5 linked regions of the Oryzias latipes genome follow. The protein of the gene in region 3 binds, or shares a complex with, the protein of the main gene of each other region. Links are inferred from orthologs where the notes say so. Each region holds a gene or a part of one and is shown on either strand. Other genes may lie near its edges. The genes, in order: ppp4r4, ppp4r1, ppp4r3a, ppp4c and ppp4r2.

What was found.
Region 1: ppp4r3a (region 3) and ppp4r4 share a complex: the UniProt entries of both Homo sapiens proteins name them as parts of the PP4 complex. The link is inferred for Oryzias latipes from reciprocal best matches to the Homo sapiens genes PPP4R3A and PPP4R4.
Region 2: ppp4r3a (region 3) and ppp4r1 share a complex: the UniProt entries of both Homo sapiens proteins name them as parts of the PP4 complex. The link is inferred for Oryzias latipes from reciprocal best matches to the Homo sapiens genes PPP4R3A and PPP4R1.
Region 4: ppp4r3a (region 3) and ppp4c share a complex: the UniProt entries of both Homo sapiens proteins name them as parts of the PP4 complex. The link is inferred for Oryzias latipes from reciprocal best matches to the Homo sapiens genes PPP4R3A and PPP4C.
Region 5: ppp4r3a (region 3) and ppp4r2 share a complex: the UniProt entries of both Homo sapiens proteins name them as parts of the PP4 complex. The link is inferred for Oryzias latipes from reciprocal best matches to the Homo sapiens genes PPP4R3A and PPP4R2.

The regions. Positions count from the first base shown.
Region 1 is NC_019882.2:23,161,234-23,165,720, forward strand, and holds part of ppp4r4 (serine/threonine-protein phosphatase 4 regulatory subunit 4), read right to left. Parts: coding exon 4,377-4,487; intron 4,295-4,376; coding exon 4,189-4,294; intron 4,101-4,188; coding exon 3,953-4,100; intron 3,853-3,952; coding exon 3,708-3,852; intron 3,618-3,707; coding exon 3,579-3,617; intron 3,502-3,578; coding exon 3,430-3,501; intron 3,330-3,429; coding exon 3,269-3,329; intron 3,200-3,268; coding exon 3,125-3,199; intron 1,316-3,124; coding exon 1,225-1,315; intron 1,130-1,224; coding exon 1,068-1,129; intron 997-1,067; coding exon 699-996; intron 1-698. UniProt on the Homo sapiens protein: Putative regulatory subunit of serine/threonine-protein phosphatase 4.
Region 2 is NC_019863.2:13,852,467-13,856,347, reverse strand, and holds part of ppp4r1 (serine/threonine-protein phosphatase 4 regulatory subunit 1), read right to left. Parts: intron 3,752-3,881; coding exon 3,590-3,751; intron 3,439-3,589; coding exon 3,338-3,438; intron 1,976-3,337; coding exon 1,855-1,975; intron 1,604-1,854; coding exon 1,469-1,603; intron 448-1,468; coding exon 306-447; intron 91-305; coding exon 1-90. UniProt on the Homo sapiens protein: Regulatory subunit of serine/threonine-protein phosphatase 4. May play a role in regulation of cell division in renal glomeruli. The PPP4C-PPP4R1 PP4 complex may play a role in dephosphorylation and regulation of HDAC3.
Region 3 is NC_019882.2:7,227,504-7,231,990, forward strand, and holds part of ppp4r3a (serine/threonine-protein phosphatase 4 regulatory subunit 3A), read right to left. Parts: intron 3,879-4,487; coding exon 3,801-3,878; intron 3,688-3,800; coding exon 3,571-3,687; intron 2,770-3,570; coding exon 2,653-2,769; intron 2,566-2,652; coding exon 2,434-2,565; intron 2,192-2,433; coding exon 2,089-2,191; intron 2,004-2,088; coding exon 1,845-2,003; intron 1,720-1,844; coding exon 1,550-1,719; intron 1,063-1,549; coding exon 920-1,062; intron 1-919. UniProt on the Homo sapiens protein: Regulatory subunit of serine/threonine-protein phosphatase 4. May regulate the activity of PPP4C at centrosomal microtubule organizing centers.
Region 4 is NC_019866.2:25,210,243-25,213,502, reverse strand, and holds part of ppp4c (serine/threonine-protein phosphatase 4 catalytic subunit), read left to right. Parts: coding exon 1-1; intron 2-864; coding exon 865-966; intron 967-1,051; coding exon 1,052-1,225; intron 1,226-1,323; coding exon 1,324-1,450; intron 1,451-1,524; coding exon 1,525-1,714; intron 1,715-3,260. UniProt on the Homo sapiens protein: Protein phosphatase that is involved in many processes such as microtubule organization at centrosomes, maturation of spliceosomal snRNPs, apoptosis, DNA repair, tumor necrosis factor (TNF)-alpha signaling, activation of c-Jun N-terminal kinase MAPK8, regulation of histone acetylation, DNA damage checkpoint signaling, NF-kappa-B activation and cell migration.
Region 5 is NC_019863.2:21,902,887-21,908,039, forward strand, and holds the start of ppp4r2 (serine/threonine-protein phosphatase 4 regulatory subunit 2), read right to left. Parts: upstream 3,412-5,153; 5' UTR 3,315-3,411; coding exon 3,281-3,314; intron 2,709-3,280; coding exon 2,627-2,708; intron 341-2,626; coding exon 170-340; intron 1-169. Other genes in the region: gxylt2 (glucoside xylosyltransferase 2), read right to left, coding at 5,031-5,153. UniProt on the Homo sapiens protein: Regulatory subunit of serine/threonine-protein phosphatase 4 (PP4). May regulate the activity of PPP4C at centrosomal microtubule organizing centers.

The sequences.
Region 1 (4,487 bases), about 16 Mb from region 3:
TTAACGTCATCCATGTTTCCAAGATGTGGAGATGAATAAAGTCCATAAAAACGTTGGTTGCTCTGTGACCGGGGCGTCAAGGTGTCAGACAGTAAATTTGATCAAAAGAGAGGCAGCAGACGTGGATTTGACCCGGTGTGAATGCAGCATTAGAAGTAGCGGTACCACAGGTCCTGCATTCCAACCGCTGTTAGACCGTACAACTCAACAGTCCAACTACAGATACATTAACCTTTTTTCTATGATAAACATTCAATGCACTTCTGCTTTGTCTTGTCTGAAGAACACCTAGGGCCTGAATGTTAGTTCTATCAAAGAAGACCCACAACAGAGCCTGTTTAGACACAGGGAACTCCTCCAAGTTCAGTCTCTGCCTGAGTGTCTTTCTTCCTCTTTAGACTGACATGTTCATCTGCATAACGACATAACGCCATCTCTGCTTCTAGCTGGTGGAAGAACACTGTTGAGTGGATTGAGCTAAGGACTAAAGCAGAACATTCTGGATTAAAATAGGGTATGCACTGTCCCAAATTAAGTTGATGTCCAACCACGACAGACAAGGTTTGTGTAAAAGAAACATCAGAACATCAAGGTCTAACCATCACAAGGATGCTCGTTCAACAGGAAATAAAACTCTTCTTTGGATTTGTGAAAGATACAGGATAAACAAAGCAGTTTCAGAATTGGTCTGGACTTACAGTTTTCTAGACCGACTGTCCTTCACCCCGCTGCTACGCTCCATTGTTTTACTGCTCTGCTCCAAAGTGCTACTTCTGTGCCCTCTGTGGTCCAAAGTACTGGTTCTGTGGTCTTTGGAATAAAAACCACTATTGCTGTGCTCCATCACACTTTTCATGGAGTCCACGCTGGTAGTTCTGTCCAAGATACTGGGTCTGTCCAGTACACTTGATAGGCTTGTGTCATTTCGTACCAGAATCGGCATAAAGGAGGTGGTCTGGGTTGTCATGGTGAAGTGACTTGTTCTCAGGGAGGCATCTGCAAAACACATGAAGTGATGTACTGTATATGTCAGAAAAACATGCAAGGTCCTGAGTGCACACTGTTACCTTTGCTAACCAACACAGAGGACTTCCCAAGTCGAAACGAACCACTTAGGTCTTTGACCTTCCTGAAAAAAAGGTTACATTATAAGAATATTTGTCAAAGATTTAAAGGCAGAAACAAAACCAATCTGTGGCGTGTCTCTACGTGAGTGCATCTTACAGTGGTCTGTCAGAATTCACAGGTTTGCTTGATGACGGCTGACTGCTGAGGGAACGACTGCGAGACAATTTTGGCTTCCTCCTCTCTTTACCTGGAAGACGGAAGGCCTCATCATCCAAATCATCAATCATCTTTATTTAGATTTTCAGCACCACCATTATTACCATCCATAGTCCAGTGAGACAAAGTTAGTTAGTTCAGCAGTGAGACAAAAGAAAGTCAACAAGCAATAAAATCAACCAGTTTACCTGTTAGGATGAAACAAAAGTACAGTGATCCCTTGATTATCGCGGGGGTTACGTTCCAAATAGAACCCGTGATAAGCAAAACCCGTGAAGTAGAAACCTTTATTTTTTTACAATTATTATACAATGAAATTCACTATTATACATTGAAAAGAAAGAACAAACCATTTAACAGGCTAAATCAATTGTTTTTTTAACAATTTAACTTTAGAAACGTTTTTCAACAAATAACTTCTGTAGTGTGCTGTCAAATAATAATTTCAATCATCGATAAGAACAGAAGGCTTTAAATTGCAGAGATTAGCCCCGCCCACCGCGACCCGAGAGTAATTGGATTAAACGGGAGAAAATTTAAAATGATTATGAAAAAAATAAAAAAGTACAGTGGGACAGATAGTGACTCCGGTCTACTTTTTCACTGCTCTTCATACTGAGCCGCTGCATCCTCTGCAGCGTTTTTTCCTTCTGAAGCCCGCGGTGCAGCTGCAGGTGTGTTTGTTCGGGAGAGGAACATAGTGATAGGCAGTTGTTGTCGCTCTTTTTTCTTCTTTGCTAAAGACCCTCTTACACCGACATGCCCCCATCGATTATGTTGGAGAACTGTAATGAACGGCTCATCAAAGGGTCCCATTCTTGAGCTACTCGCTGAGTGACTTTTTAGCCAATCAGAATGCAGAACACAATGCACAATCCAAATCCGTGAAGTAGCAAAACCGTGAAAAGTAAACCGTGATATAGCAAGGGATCACTGTATTAGTAACTTTAACAATGAGAGACAAGGAAAGTGACTAACACAAAACTCCTGGATCTATCTTCAAGACATTCTTGACAGATCTTCATCTGCTGGGAGAACCAACCTTTCCTGGTTTAATAGGTAAATATATCTGAGTATCAGCAGCAAAGAAAATGTATGCTGTGCTACTGAATAATGTTACCCAAGGGAGCATGTTGAACTAATTAGGAGTGAACCAAGCACAGAGCCTTGTGGTGCACCATGACTGATTGCTGGGTGAGAAAGACTCATCGGTTACACAATTACCCTGCAATCTATCAGATAAAAGGTTTGACATAAAAAAGGACATAATAGAACAGCTTAAAGCTGTTCCTGTGATACCAATGATATATTCCAGTCTCTGCAAAAAAATGTTCTGATTAATGATGTCAAATGCAGCACTGAGGTCTAAAAGAACAAGAACAGGTCCAGTGTCTACACCATGAGGAGATCATTGTTCCCTCTAGCAGAACCATTTCTATGCTGTGATGAGCTCCAAATCCTCACTCAAAAATCCTCCTTAATCCTAAAAAATAATTTTGATCAGGTGCTTAAGGAGTTGATCTGCAACAGTTTTTTTTCAAGCACCTTAGATGATTTTTCAAATAATGAGATATTTTCTGATTTTTAGCTAACGCTGTAATTACTGTAACCTTTATATCCACAGGAACATACTCTATTTTTAAGACACATTATTCAGATCAATTTTCTAGAAACATGGATTACAGGAAAATTCTCAGTTGACAATAAGAGGAAATCAGATCCAAGAAAGGAAAGGAAGATTTGCAGCTGTATGTTACTTGTGCTAGTGTAGAGGGCTCAAGAGGACAAAGGTGTATTTAAGAAATAATGGTTATTGCTATCATCTTTATCATCAACTTACCAGAGGGTGGTGCTGCTACTGGGGAGGAGATGGACACAGACTTAGTGAAAGTCAGGCTGGTCTTGCTGTCTCTTCCTGTTGGAGGAAAAGGTTAACCAAAGCTTTGGTCCAAAAATCTTTTGAGAGGATGAAGGTTCAGCTCACGCTTTCTCTCTGTGTGCCTGTCAGAGGTCACTTTACCATCGCTGTCCTGTTCCAACTGTTCCTGACAACACATAACACAACAAACAGCAGTATGACATTAAAACCAGTTGGACCAAGTTGGCCAGTTCCAAGCTGGAGTCACGTTCTGGCTTTTGACTCACCATTTCCAGCTGGACAGTCTCTTCTTTCTTTTTCTTCAGGTCCAGCAGGTCCCTCTCCTGCCTCTTGTGAAACTGCACATACCCAGAAGATGGAGTTTGGAACAAATGTTTGCCTAATGCATTTGCAGAACACATGCTTTGCAGCTTACAGGTTCTGACAGGTCCAGTTTGTTCAGTTCCAGCACAGTCTGAAAATGATATTAGATATAGTTACACACAGAATCTTGAACACCATCACAGCCCATCCTCAATCCGGACAGTTCTTTGGTGAGGTTTACCTTCGGGATTGTGGCCACCACATCTTTGTCTTTTTCCCTGCATAAAAGTTTCTGAACACAAAAGTCCAATTTCTGCAGCAGAAGTTTGTCTGCTGGCAGGCAGAGACATAAGCGCAACCTGGGCAGCAGCTGGCAGAGCTTGTATCTAAGAAACAGGTGAGCAGGACAAGCTATTGAGTGGGATGTGGTGACCTTAATATTTGTCAAATTTCAGCTTGTGGCTTAGTAGAAATGCATTGAAGTACCTCACATTGGCAATGGGGTCATGGGCAAGCTCCAGCGCTGGAATCAGGAAATATTTACTGAAGTATTTTTTTGAGAAAATCTCTGTGGCAATTTCACAGACGTCAAGGAACCTAAGACGGTTCCAATAGCTTCGACCCAAAGCCAAATCTACAATCAGAGAAAGTCCTCTTTGTCTTGTCCTGACACATTTGTTTTCATCTTCACTAAAGCTGGAAAAAGCAGAAGATACTCTGACCTTGGATCAAACGTTCCATCATCTCCTGACGTTGTTCCTGCTTGCGGTTGTAACGCATGATTGTGCAAAGAGTTCGTGCAGCCTCCTTCTGCACTGGAAGGACTTTCTGCAGCCATGGAAAGCAGAGCAGAGTTAGTTACCCCCTTCAGCTGTAGCTACTGTAGAGCATGGATTACGGGGCTGCTAACGTTGGTGATGAGGAGGCTGAAGATGCGGTGGGAAAAGCTCTGATGCAGCAGCTCCCCAGAAAGCAGCCTTGCCAAGCAGCTGTATTGCTGGAGCAACTTCTCATGAAGCCG
Region 2 (3,881 bases), on a different chromosome or scaffold from region 3:
ATCGGACGTCTCGGTCCTTGTCGGACTGCAGAGCCATCACAGTCTCCTCCAGCTTGTTAGAATAGGCACAGCCCGGCTCTCTAAAATAAGCTGGGGGAAAAAAAATCAAAAAAGGAGAGAAAAGGTGACATTTTTGCACAAACAGGACATTCAACATCCAACCCAGCATTTCTGAACCTTGCTCATCATCACATCTTTTTGTTGTGGTTGTTGAAGGTCACACTCCAAGGCTTGAATTACAAGGAAATAAACAATGTTGGGAAACTGCAAATAATCTACACACATGAAATGTTCCTGCTCTATACCTTTTTCCATCACGCTCTGACGTAAAGCCTTGGCCACCAGAACGCGGACATTGGCTACAGGGTCTGTGGAGAGGCTGAGCAGACTGGGCAGGAGATGCTGGCTGAACTGCTCCATGGGCATGCAGTCCTCCTCCACAACAGCCTGCAGGAGATTCAACAGAACGGTCAGTCAGAAAGCTGCAGGAGGAAGTCCGTCAACAAGGAGTTCAGTCCAGAGAAATCACATAGAAAGTCAACAAACAGGTTCATCAACAAAGAGCATTCTATGGCATCAACCTTATCTGATTGTGCAACACTGAAGACAAAAAAACAAGTTTTGTAATTATTTTCAGTTGCAGATAAAACCAGCAACACAAACACCCCCCTTTCTGAGCTGAATTGTCCCTCTTGTGTCTTTGAGGACATTTGATTTGGAGACAGCCATGGACACAGAAACAGGAAAAAAAAAAAAAAAAGTGGAAAGCTGCACTGACTAGTCACAGTTTGTAAGTTGATGGGTAAAAACCCCTCAGAGCCCAGAGCACTTTGCTCACTTTTTGAGGTTCAGGTTATCTGCAAGCTTTAATGTGCATCTGGGCTTTTAAACACAAATGAAGTTCTGTTGTTTCACCATGGCTACATATGTAAAGTATGACATGGGCAAGTAAATGAGTTGATCGTTCCCAGAGAATTGTGGGAGGATTTTATAGGCGGGACCAAGCCGAACACCATCTACTTGCTGGTCTTTAATTGACACTGACAAATGTTTTCTTTTGTATGCGAAAACAGCAGAAACAGCTGATATTCAGAGGAAAGTGTTCCTGTTAGAGATCAAACAGATTCACCAGAAATGAAACAGAGAAAACCACAGAACTTTTTAGTCTGTCCAAGTTTTACTCAAATAAAAATGATTGAATGCATGTTTGCATTTAGGAATCAAAGTCTTCTTTGCTGTATTAAAAATTAAGTGAAAATTTTTCCATCAGTTTTGCTTGTAACTTAGAATCACACAGCAGTAATAAAGTTCACACCGGTCAGTCTGTCTTTTGGTTTAGGAGCTCAGTATCAGCATTTTTATACATTCAGTTGAAAGATTAAAACCAAAATAAACAAAAGCGTGTTCAAAGAATTATTGAGAATACCTCTTCCCTAATATAATGTGGATTCTAAAAGCAAACACAGACCTGGCAGATGAAGGCAAACGCCTGCCTCCCCACCCACTTGGGACAGTGGCAGAACCTCACGGTCAGCTCATTGATGAACTCCAAGCCCAGGTCATCAGCCCTGCTGGCATACAGCTTCTGCAGAATTTCCACCACCTGACGACAGGTAAGAGCACACAACCCACTCAGACCACTTCTAGAAGTTTCAATGAATGAATCAGCAGCTGACAAATTGGAATATTTTCCCCAGATGTCGCCTTGATGCTAAAACCTGAATCATGATGGTTATGGGTTTTTTTCTTCCATGTGTGTAGCATCTAAACTTCCTCTCTATTGTGATACTACTGTCATGTTTCTTTAAATATTTAGACATGTCTTTCTACAAACCCCATTTCTTGTAAACTTACCAGTTTGTAAGAAATCCACCGGACTTCTGACACTTTGTCAGAGCAAAGGGTGAGCGCTATATGTCTGAGGTAGTCGTACACGTCACGGTGGTTGTACAACTCTATTATCAAGATCAGCTGCCTGTAGGAAAAAAAAAAACAGCAACACACAATTATGAAGCTGATAGAAAATAAAGTCAGTTAGAATACCTGTAATTTGAACAGATCTAGGGCTAAAAGAACTATGCCTGATTTTATTTAAGACAGGATTGTGTTATGACTTCATACCTATCAAAGCAGAAATGCATTTATGCTCCATGATATGTGGCAATAGGAGCTACTTATTGCGTTCATGTGCACACATGTTCAGTGTGTTGGTTACTGTTGTCACTGCTTGAAGCAAACGTTAAAAATACACAACAGAAAGGGCAAGCTGCCAGCAATGTGAAGCCCGGACTAGATCCAACTGGCACTAGGACCCTGAAGAGACCACGGTCAAGAAAGAGAATATTCTCCAGACACTGTGTCATGAATAATTCACACTTCTCCATTGACGCATGTTTTTGCCTCAACAGTGCACAAGTGTGTGAGCAGAACCAAATGCTAGAATGTTGTAGAATGACTTTCTTTTTCATGTTATGGTTATCTCTTAAAATATACAGATTTTGGCTTTATTCCCCCCCCAAAAAAAGAAGCTAGAAATACAAATAATTATTATTTACTAATCCAGCAAGAGACAGCACATGAATCTGCTGTCAATCAGGATAATGTGGTGTTAAATAAACATAAAAAAAGGGAATGTACAATCCTAAACCCCTTTTATAGATACAGTGTTCATCCATGGTGGTCTCGCTGTTTTCAGATTTTTTTTAGCGTGATTTTGCATGTTTTGTTTACAACACAATGTGTTCTACATCTTGATTGGCTGTTGACCTCGTCAATCAATTTCCTCTGTGCTGCATCTCCTGTAGAGGATGCTTTCAGCGTTCCCCTATTTACATAAAACACTGATCGAGAACAGATCTTTGTATTTATTCTATAATACTGGGCTCATTTTTCCATGAAGGTCTTAGCTTTGAGAGTTTAAACAAGAGAGAAAATGGGAAAATGTAAAGTCTGTCTGAAAAAGTATCGAAAGTGTGCCTAAAGGCTTTTACAGCCTTAAACATCTATACTCTTACTTTGTGGATTTCACCCATCTCGGTTTAATTATCCCTGACAATAAACGAGGGAACACTGTTATTAGTCTGGCTAAAATATTATGATATCTAATATATTGGTTTGCATCCCTCACCCCCTACTGAAACTGTTTCTTAACACCATAGTAGTAGGTTTGCAGATGACAGCCCCTAAACCTACTACTATGATGGAATCAACCTGGATGAATGAGAGTCCTCATAGACATGTTTTTTAACACAGAAATATGAAGCAGTGCTTTATGAATAAACTGAATAGAAAATGATGTTCAAGTCTGTTGTGTGTGAGGAAACAAAAGTCAACGTACTCTGCCAGCTCATATCTGAATCTCCAGTTGCGACTGTTGTCTGTGACCATGAACTCCTGCAGTTGGTACAGATACTCTCTCCTTTTGTCTGCATGCAGCAGCTGCAACAAGAGAATGACAAACAACATTATCTAGCACACCCATGCCAACGACTTCCTTTGGTTTAGAAATGATTTTTAAAGAGCTTCAACATCTTTCACGAAGCAGCTGTGACTGTACCTGCAGCTTTAGTCTGCATGGGAATTACTTTACCTTTAAGAAGTCATAAAGATGCTTCAGCACGCCGATGCGAACTTCATCCAGATCTTTCAGGAAGCCGTTGAATATGGGAACCAGATCAGCGGCTGTCAGCTGGTCGCCCAGGATAACCGCCAGTTCATGGATAGAGAAAGCCAGTGTGCGTCGCACTTTCCACTAAGAAAGACCACAAAGGAAAACACCACAAGATGACAGCAGCAGAAACAGAAAAACAAGCAGCTTAATAAATGAGTTACTTTTTAAGACAGGAAAAAAAACCTAAGATTTACACAGCATAGAAACAAAG
Region 3 (4,487 bases):
AATACAATTTAAAGCTTAAACAAAATACTTAGCATAATATAGCCCCTTTAAGTTCAAATCTTCCTAAAAGGGAGTTATTTACAAGAAAAACAAACAAATAACATTCTGCTAGTTTCAAAGTCACAGCAATCTAAATTATTTTAATACAATCTTCTCTTTCGGCTTTTCCCATCAGGGGTCGCCACAGCGAATCATCCTTTTCCATCTCACTATCATGAACATCTTCTACCCTAACATTAGCCAACTTCATGTCCTCTGTTAAGACATCCATATATCTCCTCTTTGGCCGTCCTCTTGCCCTCCTGCCAGGCAGCTCCATCTCCAACATCCTTCTACCAATATATCCACTATCCCTCCTCTGAACATGTCCAAACCATCTCAGTCTGGCTTCTCTGACTTTGTCGCTAACACAGGCAACATGAGCCGTCCCTCTGATGTACTCGTTCCTTATCCTGTCTAACCTGGTCACTCCTAAGGAGAACCTCAACATCTTCATCTCCGCTACCTCCATCTCAGCCTCTTGTCTCTGTCTCACTGCTACCGTCTCTAACCCATAGAGCAGAGCTGGTCTCACCACTGTCTTGTACACCTTTCCTTTGAGTCTTGCTGACACTCTTCTGTCACACAACACTCCTGACACTTTCCTCCACTCGCTCCAACCTCCCTGCACTCGCCTCATCACCTCTTTTCCACACTCCCCATCACACTGAACTGTTGATCCCAAGTACTTAAACTCCTGCACCTTCTTCACCTCAGCCCCCTGTAACCTAACGCTTCTACTTTGATCCCTCTCGTTCAGACACATGTATTCTGTCTTACCACACCTGACCTTGTATTTTAACACAATACATGTATTAAAACACACATTTTGCTTTTAGCTATGTCATGCAACATTAGGACCGGGTCTTTGCCCTCTCACCTGTCCAGCTTGGGGTTGTCTTGCCGCTCTCGCTGCTGCTCATACCGGAGCTTAAGGCCTTTGAAGGTCTGGACGTAGTCCACATCTTCCAAAGCCTTCCAGTAGTTTTCAACTATATGAGCTGTTAGAGATTTCACATCCTCCTTGAAGGAAAAAGCAGATAAAGAACAAGTGCAGCTTGATGAGAAAGAAGCATTGAAAAAGATTGGTTTGGGACACAAACTAAACTAAAAAGAAAATGGGTGTAACGAAAAGTTTAAGAATATTTTAAAGTTTAGGCTTTGTTTTTGCTTTTTTAGAGACCAATGGGAAAAGTTACTTTTACCTGGAACAACAAAACAAAAATGTTGCTGATGTCTCAGCATTACACATTTGACTTTAAGAAAACATTTAACAGATCAAGTCATCGGTGCTCTGCAGAAACAAACAAATGAAAAACTATAAAAAATTGTTTTTCCAACCATAACAAAAGGAAGAAGTTTTTCTTAGAGTCCGTTTTGAGAGATATCTTAGTATCGTTTTCTAGTCTATAACATCTACAATTACTAAAAACTTTTCTGTAACTTTTTTTTTTAATTTGTATTTGAAGCATTTGAGTTTCAGAAAGTGAAAACAACGGGGAACACTCACTACGCGGACATATTCAAACATCTCAATGATGGCAGAGTTCATCAGATTGTAGCGGGAGCCGTTTTTGAGGAAAGCTTTGACGACAGGCTCAAAGAGAAAGTTTCTCATGATGTATCGATTGTAGAATTCATCCTTCAGACCAATGATCCTTCGCATGAAGCGTAGGGCACCTGTGAATACAGAAATAGGTCCTTTTGTAACCTATTTTATGTCAACATTAACAAGGAATTGAAAGTGTGGAGTGATTTGAAAATGAACACATCTTGAAAGTAGAATTTGAAGACGTAAAACTTACAAAGTGCCAGGAAGGCATGCTGAGAGGCAGTGAGCACTAGTACCCTCCTGAGAATATCTTTGTTGATGATGTAGTTCTTTATGTGATACGTGTGATGCTCAACACAAAATGTTAACAGCTCCAAAATCAATGCCAATAACTGCGATGTTTGAAAATCATCTACAAAGGGAAGAAGAAAAAAAAAGAACATTTCATAAAGCGTTTAACAAAGTATGATAACCAAAGACATCTTGAACTTTAATACCTTTGCTGGGTTTTTCTTCTGTGGTGTTGGCTAGTAGTGGAGCGGAGAGGACATGCATACAATGTTTGTAGAAAAAGCTCAAGAACTCTGTCTTTTCTGTTTTCTGCAAAGAAAAAGAAAGCAACATTTTTTTTGAATTAGTTGCACACCTTCTAAAAATACACAGAACATAATGTTCCCACCCTTAGCAGTTTACTTGGGAAGGTACAGATCTCTGGCCCAACCTGTTAAACTGGGGGCCCTGATATTGTTTCTTCCCAGGCAGAGAAACTTGATCAGCAGGAAAATCAAACTGCTATCGGGAAATTCTGTCACAAGTGATTAGAAGTACAAGAGCAAACTCACGTTAGCAGTTGCCAGCATGTTCTCTGGATCCAGCAGAGTCCGTAGCAACCCCATAAGCTGAACTGCACCACCAAGTTCTGGGTCTGAGTCACAGATCATGTGCTCTATGATCAAGTTGATTAATAGAATGTCCTGAAAACAAAATAAATGTGTTTGTATCAACCTAAGAAACAATTAGGGCCACCTTTCATTTAAGCCTGTCATTTGCTGTATACTCACATCATCATTCTGCTGAGATTCCTGCATGACAAACTCTCTTACCATGGAGGGGTTGTACTCCACCAGATACGAGAAGATATCTGTGGCTGCCCCGCGCACTTGAACATCATCCATTCCCTATTCAGCATAAAAGAATGTCAGCCATTAAAACTTATTTTTTAATCTACCAAAAAAAACAAAAAAACATTCCAACTTTAGTAACAGTTAAGGAGGGGGGCAATATTTAATTACATTTTATAAATTTACCATAAGGCAAAGTCAATAAAATATTGTTTTGTTGTATAATTATTAGAAAACCTTAACTATGTTCATGAAAGTCAAAGTAAAGGAACCCTAACCCTAAGTAAATTCATCTAAAATTTGAACTATTATAAAGGTTACAATTTGCAGCAGATATCCATTTTCTATGAGAAAAATAGTCCTGCCAATTCTAGTATGAGAAATAATTTACTCCTCATTTGGAACAATATGGCCAAAATCTAATTTTAAAGTTTTACGCCAAAACAAAACAAGCATATTCATAGCAAAGTAAAAGTGACAAATTTAAGAGAAGGAACAATGTAGAAATCAGGAGTCCTGCACACTGGTTAATAAAAATAGCCTCCATTGAAAGGAAAAAAAATCTCTATTGTGTTTACCAGTTTGGTTATTAATTTCTGTTTTATGTTACAAAGAGAAAACCAATGTTTGCTTAGTTTTATTTTGGTATAAAATGTACCAACATATCGATGAGGAAAAATCTGATCATAAAACATGGTCTATATGATAACATCCTGTACAAAAACCACAGGCTGGAGACCGACAAGTTCTACAATTCTAAAGCAACACAGCAGAAATATCTATAATATCAACAAAAGGAGCCAATTTCTTTGTATCTCTGACTCATAATTTGTCCTAATCCCAACGCCAATCACTCACCAGTATGACCTCCAGTGCAGGTAAAATGCCCATGTTTGACAATGTCTTAAAGAAGGCGTCTCTGTTTTGAGGTTGTAACGTTTGTGAAAATGCGCAGAACTCCTTTAGGAAGCTTACCTGATAAGACAAAGAAATTCGATGAAACAAGGTAAAAAAAAAATTATATATCAACTAATGTGGAGAAGATTAACACTTTAAATAAATGATATCAGTATATTGTAAAATAATACCAGTTCATGTCTTTTGTCGTCATCTGTGGACTCATCTGTTAGCTGTGCAAAGAGGTCCGTCAGGAATTTTTCATCGTCCTGACACCAAACAAGAAACAAATAAAGAATGAAATATCCAGTAAACCAGTAGAAAATTGAAGCACAACAGAAATGAATTTTCTAATGCTAATGTGCTGCATTTCATGTTTACAGTAACAGAAGAATAAAATTATGCAACATAATTAACCAAAAACAATAACATAATTCAAATATTTCTTTTTAGGTTCAATCTATGAAGGATATGCATGTTCATAATAATAAAAAAGAAAAAAATTGTATAATAATCTCTAACACTCTGAATGAAAAACTCTGATCATATTTGCATAAAGAGTTTTTAGAATATAAAAAGGGAAGAAATATACAGCACTGGTTGATTACACACAGCACAGTGTACCAAAAGTGTTTGAGTTTCACTTTTCCTCCTGGACAGCACAACGGATTTACACAACACTTCTCCATCTCCATGGGGACAGCAATACATAAACACTGCTGAGCTGACAGTACAAAACACAAAGGTCACATGACCATAAACGACTGTCAAAAGAGCCTCACCCATTTCCATTTTAAGTGTGACGGGGAAAAAATATAAATATACTACTTCCACATGAGGTTTGTTCATTTAAAAACATCCATTCATCCCCCAACTAG
Region 4 (3,260 bases), on a different chromosome or scaffold from region 3:
AGTAAGCTTTTATGTTTGTTTTAATCCAAGCTCCAGACAAAATCGTGGTTTATTTTCCTGCACTGCTGTTTGGTTTTGATGGTTGGACACTTCTTCTTTATGGGCTGTGACGTAGGGCTGGACCATTAATCAGTTATGTCCAATTTGATGTTTTAGACTGTTTATTTTTGAGAAAATGGAGACGTTTCCCCCCAGCTCTCTGCTCTCTTCCGTGTTGGGAGTAAAAGCCGCCCGCCGGTCCGTCCAAAGCACGGATGTGAGAACAGCAGCGAGCAAAGAGGAGCTACTTCAGCGAGGCGGAGCAATGAAAACACGAGCGCCACGAGAAGTGCCCCGTAACTTCTGCTAGTGACCTCTGTGTAGAAATAGCAGTACTCTGTACTCAGTAGTTTTAACAGAATGTCTGTACAGAGGCCTTGAAATGTGTTTGCTGATGCCAGATCCAGGTCAACTTTAAAGCAAACGGTGTTATTAAAACAAAAGTTGGGCTGTTTGCTTTAAACTGCCCTTCATTCTGTCTGTACACGTGTGGGTTTACAGCACAGCCGCGCTCCTCTGGTGTCCGATGGTCCGACCGGTTCTCCTCAGGCTGTACTGTGTGTTTTAGCCTGAGGCCTTCTGCTGGCCTCTTTGTGTTTTCTGCCAAAGGGATGAAGAAACGGTAGCGGGTCATTTATAGAAAGGGACGGCTGGCTGGTGTGTGGAGGGGAGGCCATTAAAGAGCAGAGCCTCACTCCTATTGGAGTTGAATCATGAGAACCGCAGAAGTTCAGGGTTTATTATGGAAACCCAAAAACCGTCAAGTTTTGAAACGTTAAGGCATTGTGTGTTGATTCCACTGATTTTAAACCTGCCATTTACCAGGTGGGGGGAGATGTCCCAGAGACCAATTATCTCTTCATGGGGGACTTTGTGGACAGAGGCTTCTACAGCGTGGAGACTTTCCTTCTGCTGCTGGCCCTCAAGGTGAACGATTTGAAGTCAATCAAGCCCTTCCGTGCTGCACTTGTGCAGGTCTCTGACATAAATCCTCCTGTTTTTGGTTCCTCAGGTGCGTTATCCAGACAGGATCACTTTGATCCGGGGAAACCACGAGTCCAGGCAGATCACACAGGTCTATGGCTTCTACGATGAGTGCCTCCGCAAGTACGGCTCTGTGACGGTGTGGAGATACTGCACCGAGATATTCGACTACCTGTCGCTCTCTGCCATCATCGATGGAAAGGTCGGACGGGTTTTCTTCACGCCGTTTCCTCCAAAATGTTGGACGTGAAAAGGTTTTCCTTTGGCTTTTGTTTTGATGGCTTTCATTCTGTCCTCCAGATCTTCTGTGTGCACGGAGGGCTGTCCCCCTCCATCCAAACACTGGACCAGATCCGGACCATTGACAGGAAACAGGAAGTGCCTCACGATGGGCCCATGTGTGACCTTCTGTGGTCAGACCCTGAAGGTAACGGCTTCAGCCAGAGCCGGACTCCGTTTGAGAAGCTGCACGTTTGCCTGATCTCTTCGGTCTGCTCTCAGACACCACCGGGTGGGGGGTCAGTCCCAGAGGGGCTGGATATCTGTTCGGGAGCGACGTGGTGGCTCAGTTCAACGCCGCCAACGACATCCACATGATTTGTCGAGCGCACCAGCTGGTCATGGAGGGCTACAAGTGGCACTTCAACGAGACTGTGCTCACCGTGTGGTCCGCACCCAACTACTGCTACAGGTGACGGACACCTGTCCGGTTCCACTGATTTGTCTCTGTGTAAAAGCCTCCCTTTGGGACACGCCCACTTAAGGAGTTGAATGCTAGTTAGGTTTAGGTTAGCGGTTAGCTGTAGGAACAGCGTCTCTAATTCAGACTGCTGCTGTGAGGAGATTTACTGGCTGTGCTTCAGCACGACTAGAATGCAGATGCAGAGAAAATGGACCTTTGGGAACCGGCCAGTCCTGCTAAGACTGAAAAGTACAACTGTTTACTTTAGGCTTTGCATTCAACCAAAGCTGTTAAATGTTTGTTTGTCTCAATATTCAAAGCAAAAAAAATTTATTTTATTTTCTGTAGTTAATTTATGTTTTCAAGCAGCAAAACTCCAAATATTTGTTCTGCATTTAGAAATTCGTAGCATATTTTTGGCACTATGAGGAGCACAGAATAAACCTTCATTTTGGTCAAAATGACTTGTGATGTGGAGCGACTTAAGTAATTAACGTGTAGAGCGTCGCAAACAGGAATTAGAAATATTGTTTATAAAGTCTGGACTTTCCTCTGCCTTTTTATTCTCTCTTCATGGACCCTATAGTGCAGTGCGCCTTATATATGACGTAATGTAGAAAATAGGTTATTTATTGGTGGTGCACCCTATAAAACAGAAAATATGGAATGTTTTCTGGACATTTAGGTGTGCAACGGATGATTTGTATGGACCACACGCCACGGCTAAGGTTTAACATGCGTCAAAGGTCCTAGTTAATGTTTGTCCTAAGGTGTGTGAGCCTAAAGCTCCCGCCAAAAGCGTGTCGACCTCCGCATGGAGGACGCAGATGATGACAGATGGCGTTTCTTCATTTTGAAGAGCTCTACAACAGCATCAATGAGCAGCACACGCCTCCATGTGTGCCTCATGAAACCATTCACTCTCCCAGTGAGGAGCAGCAGCTGCCCCCAACTGTGGCAGGAGAAGCCGCCGCCCCTCTGGAACCAGTGGGAGGGGCTTGTAGCAGGGGATGGTGGAAGAATGGATAATAGTCAATTCCTCCTACATTCCCTGCTTTTCTTACTTTTAAAAAAAACTGTATATACATTTTTTTGCACGGTGATTTTGATCAAATCGATTAATTGATCTGAATTGATCCAATCTTAGTAGATCAATAATAGATCCATTAAAGTAGAAATCGATCTTTTATGCTCATTTTTTTCCGGGGATCTAATGTATAACATCAGTAAAGCCAAAGTCTGCTAGCTTGATGCTAACGTATAATGGAATTTCCCATAGGACGGCTAATGCTAACTCTTGGACGACCCAAACATACATTACTGACTCAATGAGCAGCTTTATAGACTCACAGGCAGGAATTTTCCAAACTCTTTTACAGAAACATTTTTGAAAGTAACCATTTGTGGTCTAAAGCTCCATTTTTTGCTCCAATCTTCTGGAATAAAGTGTAATGCTATAAGGAGAGCTCCACCTAGTGGCCAGACGGAAACGCCCTCCAGCAGAGACAGACCATAATGATCTGGTTGTTCAGTTAGAGCTTCTCTGTTGGAGAAA
Region 5 (5,153 bases), on a different chromosome or scaffold from region 3:
CCACAAGCGTCAGGAGCGGTGTCTTTTCTTCCTTTTACATCCCAAATCGTGACCAAGAATGACATTCCTCCCTTAGCATTTCTTTAGCTTCATATTCAGAGATGAGGTGATGGTTGATCGGTAACTCCACGTCCCTCTGCCGGCCGGCACAACTGGAGCGTCCACTCACCCGTTGTAGCCGTCCACAATCTTCAGGATCCTCTCCTTCATGTCTTCGAATGGAACAGACTCCACGTTGGGGTTGGCGGCGCCTCTCTGTTCGGGCGCCGACGCTCTGAAGTCGTCCATCACCGTCTCCAGCTTGAACAGGAAGTAGCTTTTGAACTGAGACCACTGGACCCTGGAGAGTTGGACACAGGAGATGAGGATGAACAGGAAACCGGTAAAGTACTCCTTTGTCGTAGTATTAATCCATGTTCCTCTTTCTTTGGTAAAAACAACCAGCTGCTCGGTTCTGAGTCTTAATCGCTCTTTCCTACTCTCAGCTCTGAACTTGTTTTTTGGGTATAAATGACTGAAAACACATTGATATGATCAACCTATAAAAATGTTTGATCCAATAGAAACTTCTAAAATATTCAAATAAACCAAATATTGACCTTTTGCAAATGAAAACCCTTCTATTATACAGATTTATCTCTAATACACTTTCATTTCATTCAATCATATAGGAGAAGCCACACTTTACGCCTTAGTCATAACTTCCCTTATGGGTGGATCCAGGCTGTCTGCAGGTTAAGAATTGACCAACCTGTGCGGGCCAAACAGGCGCTCCACAAACAATATCAAATTCGTAGAACGCTCGAAGAGCAAATAATGTTTTCTGGATGATCTTCATCCAGTGTGGGTCCTTGGGCAAGACCCTTCACACACTGTGCCGGTCCCCAGCCCGGAAATAAATAGAGTTGTGGCAGAAGAAATAACAATCTCTGCCACCTGTATGAATCAGTGAAAGCTGATTGGCTGTGGCCACCCCTGAAACGATATGCCGAAAGGGGAACAAACGAGTTTAATTCCCGTGGACGTCCTACAGGCACTTGCATATGACCTGCACTCCCACGTGTGCAGCAATTGCACGCCGTCAACAATGAGTCAGTATGCGCACCTTACTAAACAAATAGTGTAGCGTAAGGCCCCCGTACGACACCAGCACCTGTACATCAAACCTACATCCTTACAAATACTTTACAATACGCTTAACACACGCAAGACAATCATATGTTTTATTTTCACGATGTCCCTCAAGGTCGACAACCCTGGAAAAACCAAACCCAGTACGGCAGCATGTGACTAAGGCTTTACTAACAGAAATATCAGCAGAAGTGGTCATTTTTACCAACACCAACAACCTCCTGTATCCCTAAATATAGCATCAAGCTAACATATATTTGAACTAGAATGGCCTCAGTATGTTTACCATTCTGTAGCTCCACAGCATCTACGACATTTCTTCACCTATTATTGTAAATACACCGAAACTGAAATCTAAGCCCGAATGAAGGGATATTCTGAATAAAACAAAGACCTATAAATAAGCTGATTTTGTGGTCTTCCTCTTCCACTAGAAGTGATGAAGCTTCTTGGATGGGCTTTTGTTAGACGATAGAAAGAAAAAATAAAGAACCTTACACTCATACTAGCTGGGAAACGTAAATCAACCCAGTTTGTATGTTTCTTATTTGTTTAAAACGTTTTCCATCACCTCAAAAAAAACCTTTATTTTTTAACCTCTTTTCTCGAAGAGACAAGTTATCGCTAGACGACTGGTGATGCTACAGTTGATTACTTAGCCCCTCACACACACAGCTGTAATAAGCATAAGTATTCATTTTTGCCAACATCTGTAATACATTTATTTATTTCACTCATTATTCCATAATAATTCTCATAAAGAAAGCTCACTTTAACCAAACTTTAATAAAATTTTGTGGTCGTGGATTCACAAGTTTCAAGGTAAAGCTGCACCATTCTCTGTGTAACAGGTTTTTAACGTCACGTTTAAAATAACACGGCACACATTCGATGTCTGCAGAGGGCAACACATTCAACATTTGTTGAGTTCCATAAAAGCAGGAAATGGTATCGGGGCAGATGAACGTTTCCGACAACACTGACAATAATAGACACGGGTAAAACTGGAGAAAGTGGAAAGTTTCAAAGATGTATTCTTCTTATGACCGGAAACCCCCCCCGCAAACATCTCCAAAAACTCTCTGATGGGTCCAAATACAATATCAGCAGTGTTTTCTGTGGGATGTAACTGCAGACACCGAACCATAAACTGCTATCTGCATGGACTTCAGACTGAGAAGTAAACCAGAGTTCACCTCTATAGTATAGAAGCTGTCACGAATCTGAAAACCAGGTTGCAAACAAAAATGACTCAAAAATCAAGGAATTATCCGAGATAAGTTTGATCCCTTCATCCTGACTGACCCTTTTCCCCCGTTCTATTTGACCCTATTTCGTGCAGAACTTGCATTAGGAAAAGCATATAGGTAACTGTCATAGTAAGAATTTCCTGTGAAAGTGAACAATAGAGCATCAATGGAAAGTGAAAGGCTCAAAGTAAACCGAAGAGTTTCAAATACTGGAGCAGAAAAACCGAGAGAAAAAGGACACTTACATGGTCTGTCCAGTTTTGGCAACATGGCACAGGAACTCCTCCAGAACAGGGGATGGTTCCTTTTTAGATTTCTTGTCAAAATCTGTAGAAACATTTTAACAAATTGGCTGAACACGAACAGGTCTCGATTTAGCCTAGCTTAAAAAACGAACAGTTTAGCCAAACTGAGCAGCTGAGAATGTCGGATTAATTTGTGGTCGTCCAGTTTAACCTGGTTAACGCTCAATGCCCACTTTAACTCAACCCGAGGAATTAATATATATCGCTGAACCCTTCCTTTCGTTAAGTGTTGATCAGCAGTTCCTATTAGCTTATCGTAGCCCTGCGATGCTAACTTTAGCCTAACGGGGAAGCCGGTAGTTTTCCCCAAAGCGTTAGCCGGCTAATTCATCTGAAATCATGGTGCGTGGAAAACAAAAAGAAGAAAGCTAACTATAAGAACTAACTAGTTATTTCAAAAAAAAAAGAAAGGAATACATTAAAAAGAAAGCTAAGCGTTTCGAAGACAGCACTAGCTAATAAGTTAGCATCGGTTGACACTAGCTCTCGTAAACTAAAACCCACTTCATTATCGCTTTTTTTAGTGTAACCTAGAGCAGACATTTATCAGATATTTTTCGTCAGCTTGGTGTTAAATGAGGAGAAGAAAGTGACCTATGAGCGCCTCTTGAATCGAGTCAATTTCCATCACGTCGTCGCCTCTGTTAGTGCTGAGGGTGTCAACGGCAGGATGGCGGCTAGCCGATGCTAAGCTAGGCTAGGAGGCGGCGGGGGGGGGGGGGGTAATTAAAGATGGCGTCGTTAAGTCACAGCCCGAGTCTAACTCAACAAACAGAAGAGAACTGATACAACACAACTAAAAAAAGAGCATTCCCAGTAGACTTTTTTTTTTGCAGAGCAGCATATATGAAGTTAGATTTGTTGCACAAAACGGTTTGCACCTGTAATGAGACATTTGTGTGTGTTGAAAGATTTAGTATCTGTAGAAAACAGATTGTCTGTCTGTTTTAAAAATGTTTGTACCCGTCATTAGAAATGTGTGCGTCTGTAAAACTGTTTTATAACGGGAAAACAAACATGTCTGTCTATAAAGTTGCTTTGTCCGTGTGTGAAATGTCACACGCACAAATAAACATGTATTTATCTACAATGACAAAGTTACAAATACAGTATGTTTTGCTTCTCACTAAATCAACCAATCAGCAGCCATGAGCTGTCACCCAATCTGTGTGCTGCGTATATTGTAATTGATGTATTTCATTACAATATAGCAACTAAAAGAAAATAAGAGTTGGTCATTATTATTAAAAAATATGTCTGAGTTGTGGGTGGGACCATTGGCCCGGAGCAACCCCACCCCCCTGACCCTTCCCCTTTGCTGAGAGCTCTCTATTTACACTCTCTCCTGCTAGCTTACAGTCCCTCACATCCCTAGTGGCGTTGCAGCAAAAAATGGCGACCAATGTTGGAGCTAATTGAGCCAGATGCTAGCTCGGACGAGGAAAACGAACATTTAGATAGATGAATCAGAATGACGCGGAGCACAATTTTTTTTTTAAACTGCATTTTTTGTCTGCTCCTAATTCACAATTTGAACGAAGTAATACTCAGAAATGCAATCTCAAGCTTAACTTTCTTGATATTTTTCTTCCATCGTCAGAAAAAATGCCACGAGAACATGTTAAAAACAACAGAAACACAATTTTATCAGAGTGGGTCTTTCATATAAAAGAATGTGGTGTCTTTAAGACTCCGCCCACTTACCAGGACAAAAGCAAACAAGGTAATAGCAGGGGGAAAAAGACTCACAATGGGTTAGTTTTTTGCAAAAATTTTAATTCTGAAAACATATGTAGACTCCACAAACTTTTCCATGTAACACGTGGGTCACAACAGCACAGATTCATATTACAGGCTCACACACACCTACACAAATCCATTTATTTTGTATGGTAAACATGGCACACATGAACATTAATATGGCGTTTAAACTTCACTCCAATAAAACATTCTTGCACAATCTGTCCAACTCGGTCAGGCAAAGTCTCACGGTCTAAAAGAAAAAAATCTTTTTTAAAAAGTGCTTTTCAAACATTTAACATACAAACATTTAATACAGACAGTGGTGGTTCGTTCACATTTCATGGTGACGCTAAAATATTCACCATTCTTTAAACTGTCCAAGAGTTGCTCTCATACAATTGAACCTTTAAAATGTTCATTTTAGTCGCTTAGAAATGCTTGAGATGAGCATTTTTCTCAACATAAATAAAAAAGTGACTTCTTTGTTTGGTTTCTTTTTATTTACTTTTTTATTTCTGTAGAGTTCATGATCCTTCACAGGTTGCGTCTGCTTTAAATGCACAGCATGGGGGTGTGGGTGGGGCAACATGGTCTTCGGCTGTTAATTTCGAGGTCTGGCATGGCGCACCACCTTCCTCTCAAAAGCACTCCTCATGGTCTTCTCTATCTGCTTGAGGAAGACCTGGGGAATGCGACCGCACAGAGTGTTGACCGTGTCCAGGAA